Oryctolagus cuniculus: one gene and its partner. The protein of the gene in region 2 interacts with the protein of the main gene of each other region in a biochemical or structural test. Links are inferred from orthologs where the notes say so. Each region holds a gene or a part of one and is shown on either strand. Other genes may lie near its edges.

The links.
Region 1: the proteins of RNF8 (region 2) and ubiquitin-conjugating enzyme E2 variant 2 form a complex in vitro, tested with the Homo sapiens proteins (2 studies listed by BioGRID). The link is inferred for Oryctolagus cuniculus from reciprocal best matches to the Homo sapiens genes RNF8 and UBE2V2.

Annotation. Positions count from the first base shown.
Region 1 is NC_091441.1:59,364,269-59,367,466, forward strand, and holds ubiquitin-conjugating enzyme E2 variant 2, read right to left. Parts: upstream 1,823-3,198; 5' UTR 1,783-1,822; coding exon 1,345-1,782; 3' UTR 586-1,344; downstream 1-585. UniProt on the Homo sapiens protein: Has no ubiquitin ligase activity on its own. The UBE2V2/UBE2N heterodimer catalyzes the synthesis of non-canonical poly-ubiquitin chains that are linked through 'Lys-63'. This type of poly-ubiquitination does not lead to protein degradation by the proteasome.
Region 2 is NC_091436.1:132,279,593-132,283,243, reverse strand, and holds part of RNF8 (E3 ubiquitin-protein ligase RNF8), read left to right. Parts: intron 1-3,004; coding exon 3,005-3,133; intron 3,134-3,651. UniProt on the Homo sapiens protein: E3 ubiquitin-protein ligase that plays a key role in DNA damage signaling via 2 distinct roles: by mediating the 'Lys-63'-linked ubiquitination of histones H2A and H2AX and promoting the recruitment of DNA repair proteins at double-strand breaks (DSBs) sites, and by catalyzing 'Lys-48'-linked ubiquitination to remove target proteins from DNA damage sites.

The DNA of each region.
Region 1 (3,198 bases), on a different chromosome or scaffold from region 2:
GAAGATACCACATGTTATGGTGGAAAGAAATTATTCTAGGAGTCAGAAAACCTGCTATCTTAATTCTGTCACCAGTGAAATGATATGATAAAAAACAACATAATCTTTGCCTCTAGATTTTCATCTATAAAGTATAAACATGTAGGAGTTTTCATTCTCTGTGTGTGAATGTGTATGGTGAGATGGGGAGAATTAACGTCCTCTAAGGCCCTCTAAGGTCCTTTCTGTTTCTAAAATGTACATATTTTATACACCAAAGTACTGTTCTGTTATAGAACACTTTTATTTTGAAGTCATTAAAAACCATCCTGGAGAAAAGTCACATAAACTCAAAACAACACAGCTGTGAGTATTCAGCACTCCTTGGTTACAAGTAGTTATACCACCATTTAATGGTGTCATTAAAAATGCATTGTCACCATAGTAACTGTAACATTATAAGACACCAGATCTTTCCCTGAAAGGCTTGTGCTGAACAGCTTCCATTGCCTTATGCAACGGTTGCTTCACCTTTTCTTAGCAGATGCACAGCTTTCCTTTCTTTTTCAATTTATTTGGTACCAAGAAAAACCATCAACAACCTGATTTTTTTTTTCCCGAGGACACTTTCCACATTTTATTTACATTTTATGACTAACTTTAATCTCAAAATCACATATCCATACACCTATTTTCTTTTTTTGTTGACTTCACTTGAACTTAAATGCATGGTTTGTTAAACAAAGAATGTAAACAAATATTTACCATGTCTGTTACATGTAACACACAGGAACAGCTTTTAACAGAAATTCATCGACCCCCCCCCAACATTTTTTTATTATAAATACAGGTATCAAAACAATCCTGAACATATGTTTATACTACTAGTAGTCAGCACCCACACCGCTTTAAAATTTAACACAATTTGTGACAATATTCATTGTACCTGCTACTTTAAACAATTTCAACTGCAGCTCTTTCACTAAGCAAGATGGATAAAAGCATGCCATTTCTGTTTGTCCTTCTTGGGATTTTTACTTTTCAGAAACACACGTTTCCACTGCCATCTCACACGTCTCGCCACGCTTGCGTCTTGTAAACCCGAATCCTACTTGGAGCACTCCAGGTTTATGTTTAAATGACAGTGCCTCAACAAGAGAAAGAAAAATTGTGCTGCATTTTTCCTCCCGTTACCTGAAAACATAATGGGTGTACATATATTAAATATATTACAAATGTCCGGGTCACATATACCAGCTGGAATTCTTTACTGAATGTGTGGGTATTCTGCATTGTGATATTTAATCAAGACATTAATATGAGTAGAAGGTTGTTGATTTAAGACAAGTTTGAGATCCATTAAAATTAATTGTTGTATGTTTGTCCTTCTGGTGGCTGTGGAAGCTTCATATTTTCTTTGGACATCATTAGACGTCTTAGCTCTTGAAGTACAACTTTAATGCTATATGAATTTTGCCATTTTGCTAATACTGGTATGCTCCGTGCATCCACCATTCCACTGGAATTATTTATCCCATTCATATTAATTTTTGTTACAAATCTAACTGATGGAGGAGCTTCTGGGTATTTAGGTCCACATTCTACTTTCAGGCTATATATTCTGTTCTCATAATTTGTCCTTGGTGGCCCAATAATCATGCCTGTCCACCTTGTAAGTGTCATATCTTCATCATCTTCAAGGCCCCAGCTAACCGTACCATCTCCTACTCCTTTTTGTCCTTCTTCAAGTTCTTCCAACAAGCGAAAATTACGAGGAACTTTAACTCCTGTGGAGACCGCCATCTTCTCCTGCAGCCCGACGCAGCCCAACAACCTGCTTTTAAAAAGTAAAAATTTCTAGTACTTGGAAGTATACATTACCAGTGGTTAACAGTGCCATTATCTTGCAAATTGGAAAATAAAATTATTCCCACTCAGGACAAAATTCTAGTGTAACTCTCCTCCCAAATCCTTTTCATGTTTTTGCCCCTTTCTTGACATTGTTTCTTCCCTGGTGATTCTTTGTCCTTTGGCTCTGATTTTTTTCCTCCCCTATTCATGACACTCTGTCACACATTCCACATCCTATTTACTCACAGGTAGTCACTAAGAACAAAAACATTTATTGGTATGGACTTCTCTTAAATTACATTTAGTTATTTATTTAAAAGGCAGAGAACAAAGATAGAGAGACAGTGGCAGAGAGAGATTTTCTATTCACTACTTCACTCCCCAAATGCCTGCAACAGTCAATGCTTGGCCAGGCTGAAACTGGGAGCCTGGAACTCAATCTGGTCTCTTGCATGGGTAGAGAGGAGGAGCATCCATCACCTGCTGCCTTCCCAGACACACATTAGCAAGAAGCCAAAAGCAGAAGCAGAGCCAGACACACAAACATGGGATGCAAGTTCCCAAGTGTTGTTGTAACCACTGAGTGCCCGCACCCTCTGTAATGGTCACTCCTGGATGCTATGTGGTTAAAAAAAAAACTGTAGCAAAGGCGAAATGAAGAAGGGAGACTAGTCAGAAAAAAATGCAGTAGGCTGTCAAGTATAGAAGTAGTTTGAATAGCCAGCAAGGGCATGGGTATTAGAAGATTCTTTTCAATTAAAAATGTAACATCTTTGACAAGGATGTTCGGAAGGTTTATTTGCTTTCTTATGCCATCATGGCTGCTGTGTCTTGTCCAGATTCTGATGAACAAGGGGAAAGAACACAATCATGTCTAATCTGTTCCAGGACTTCTGTGCCCAGCTCTGGTTTAGTAAAACATTCAAGTGAACCACAAATACAAAGCAGCTCAGAATTTGTAACAAATCATAGTAAAAGCATTAAAAACTACTTACACACACACACACACACACACACAATCAGTGCCAGGGCAGAAACCCAACATTCCTACCTCCACTGTGTAGTCTTGTTCACTAGCCTGTAATTCCAGTGACCCCAGGTATGTTCCATCCTTTCTCTCAATATTTATTTCAAGATAACTGCACAGCAGTCATCCTAAACAAATGCAACAAACAAGTGAGAGAAATAATTAGTACCTAATTAACCTTGAGATGTTATGAGAAAACTTAACATTGAGTTTTGCCCATATTGGGTGTTTTTTTTTTTTAAGCAAAACAGTCTATTTCTTGTTATTGTCTACTTTTTACATAGAATCATATAAGGACAGATTGTTAAAACTGTAAGGAAACCTTAGGGTTTCTTCTAGTT
Region 2 (3,651 bases):
TCTGTCCGCTCACTAGGCTAATCCTCCGCCTGCAGCCACCCCGGGTTCTAGTCCTGGTTGGAGCGCCAGATTCTGTCCCGGTTGCTCCTCTTCCAGTCCAGCTCTCTGCTGTGGCCCGGGAGGACAGTGGAGGATGGCCCAAGTGCTTGGGCCCTGCACCCGAATGGGAGACCAGGAGCACCTGGTTCCTGGCTTCGGATCGGCGCAGCACACTGACTGTAGTGGCCATTTGAGGGGTAAACTAAAGGAAGGAAGACCTTTCTCTCTGTCTCTCTCTCACTGTCTAACTCTGGCTGTTAAAAAAAAAAAAAAGATAAAGTGCCTGCTTATGATGTTCATATTCTAATAAAGGGGAAGGGAAAAGTAAAACAAGATAATTTTGGATCATGGTAACTGCATGCTAATAACATGAAGAAATACAATGGGGGAGGGGAGCAGATAGCAACAAGACCTGAGGCGCTGAAACTTGAAAGGTGACAAAGCACCGCATAAAGATCTGAGAAGTGAGTGCCCCAAGCCAAGTGGACAAGGGAGAAGGCTCCCAGGTCAGTGGATGTTGGAGCGGGAGGTGACAGAATGAAGAGAAGGCCTGATGGCTGAAACAACTAGCGTCTGGGCTGTGCATGGCACTAAGGGAAAGGCATGAAGGCGGTCAGGACATTGGCGGCTTTACGGCTTTGGGAAGAAGTTTGGATCATTGAAAGATTTTAAAGGAAGAAAGGAAGTTACCTGATTTAAAGTTCTTATTACCACTCCAGCCGGTGTGTGTGTGAACAGAGTTAAGGAGGATGAGAACAGGAACAAGAAGCCCAGTGGTTTGGACTTGGGTAGGGGTCATGGGGATAGGAATGAGTAGGCTGAGATGTGTTTGAGTCACTGCCATAGAATCGCTGCCAGTTGAGATCTGGGGCTGAGGAACAGATCGATCAAAGAGGGCTTGTGGGTTTGGGGCTGAGCAGTTTGTATAGATGGCAGTGTCGGTTACTGAGATGAGAGTTTGTGGAAACCTAATAGATTAGGTCAGAGAGAGTCACGGTCCTCAGTCTGAGGGACAGAGGAAAACAGGCGTGAATCTGAAGATTTTAAAATCGATAAAGAGTAGTTTTTCAAAAACCACAGGTTTTAATTTAATGTTGCCAGCTACGTTTACAATGTGGATCATTAAGGAGGTGGTTTATGCACTGAGAACAGCAAGCATGGAATTCTAAGCCTAGATGACAGAAGAGTTTCACTTCCCACCTTCGCTGGGCTGTGTGAACCAGACAGGTCAGTCAGGAAAGCATGACAGTTGGGAATTAGCGTTCTGTTCAGCCTTGTCCCTGTGGGAGACAGAGGACTTGGACTCAGTGCAGAAACTCGGATTGGATTATGACTGAAGCTACACTCAGACTGTTAGTAGAAGCTTTCTTGAGAGCTTTGTCTTTGGCTACATCCCATTTCAGTATATTTGTGTCTTGGATGAAGGTACAGAAAGCATATCAATTTGGTGAATGATTTAAAGCTGCAAGGAATATTGAGTATGTCTGATCTGATGGCGGATTAAAAATCAGAAAAGTCTTGACAAGCCGGTGTGATAGGCTGAACTAACAAGATGAAATTTAATAGGGATCAATGTAAGGTCCTGCACTGGAATCCAGATTTTTCCAACTAGTCAAGTACAGGCTGGAAGAAACATGATTTAGCATAGCAGTTCTTGGGGGAGGGGAAACATCTCTAAGTTTGAGGATATCCTTCCAGGGCACTGGATCTGCTTTGAAAGCTAATGCCATTTATATGCTGCAGTGGTAATATCAAGAACTGGGAAAGTGATGCTTGGCCTTGATTATGTAATGGAAATTAAGTTTATTTTTCTTAATATGGCATCCAGGTGTCGCTCCCCCTCTTCGTGGAGGAACGACACTAAACCCTGCCTAGGCTTCATATCCGAGTCATGGCACCATTATGCCGCTCCCCCTCTTCGTGGAGGAACGACACAGGACCCTGCGCTGTTCTTTCGTCTGCTCGGCCCTCCCCGGGTTTGCTGCTGGTTCTTCCCGGGTTGGCTACTGTCCCTTCCACCTCCGTGGAAGGGCAGTTCCCCCTGGCCACATTCCCCACTTCCGCAGGGGAGCGGCACACTGCCAGCCGGCTCTCTCGGGGGCTGCACAGGTGTTCCCCTTAGATGTTCCTGGTGCATGCCGTCTCTCTCCTCCTTTATAGTCCTCCTCCGCCAATCCTAACTCGGCTGCCCACACGCCGAGTACGCTGCTCTCCTCCAATCAGGAGCGAGTCCTACAGTTTATTGGCTGAACTGGAGGCAGCTGTGTAGAAGCTGTTTTCTTCTCTCCCAGCGCCATATTGTGGGAGAGCAGATGCATAGAATAAGTCTTAATTCCAGTAACTCAGTCTAGTCCGGGTTGCTCCCCACATCCAGGAATAAAGATAAGCTAGGAGTCCTTTCACAGATCAATTAGAATGACAGAGATTCAAACCCGTACATTGGAGGAAGGTTAAAGTAACTAGGTTCCTGAGCCAGGAAGAGAGAAGACTTGGTAGATAGCTGTGACTTGGAAAGGGAGTTGGGGATTTTCTGATAGTGCCCAGGACAGAGCCTCAGCCAATGGATGGAATGTATAGGGAGAAAGGACCACTGGAAAAGCAGGGGGCCTGTCTCATCTAAACGCTGTGGTTCTTGGCTGTGTTTTAGATTTGTTGATTGGGATGTGTGGAAATAATTCCTTAATGTCATGGGTGATTGAACCAGATGACCTTTCCAGGACCTCCTAACCTTTACATTCCATGGTTAATCCCTTTCAGCTTCTTCTTTTTGTAACTTCTTTCCTTTTTCTGTGTGCTGGCTTTGTGGCAGCTGAAGAGGAAATCGCCGAGGATCTATGTAGGTTTTGCAGGAATCCGGGTTTCGTAGGTCAGGATCTGTGTACCACACTAGTTGATAAGCTTGTAGAGGGCCTCCCTATTTCGCATAATGATTGATTGTGTCTCTTCATTGTTGTTACCTTCCTAGGTGTCTCTGGGACGAGGATTTAGTGTCACATACCAACTGGTGTCAAAAGTCTGCCCTTTGATGATTTCCAGAAAGCACTGTGTTTTGAAGCAGAATCCTGAGGGCCAGTGGACAATTATGGACAACAAGGTACAGGAAATCACAGAAAGAGGACTAAAGATTTTTAAAATTTTTAATTTATTATTAATTTTTTTTGCATAGATAATTTATGAAGCAAAATGCAAACGGTTTACCTGCTGCCCTCCCACCCCATTCTCTTTCCCAGAGGCAACTACTGCTCTGTTTTGCTAGAGATTAGATGATGCTAAAATAATTTCCCATGACTTAGATTGAAGTTGGTGCCCTTAAAGTGAACATTTGCGTTGGAGGCCGTAGGTCCTATTCCAGAAACTAGATTAAATTGCTGTGGGAATTGACCCTTTTGATGCAAGATCCAGAAACCCTAGAATCTTCTACAGCTTTTGGAGTTCACCAGAGGGAGGAGAAAGAAAGTGAGCTGATTGCATTAAGCTCCTTTCTTTCCCCACTGCTTTAAATCAGAGCAAACTCCCATCCCCCTACTTGACCTGTTTTTCACTTTTTTTTATGTTTATTTTATATATTTTCATCTACTTGAGCAGCAGAGAAACAGAGACCGACAAATCCAA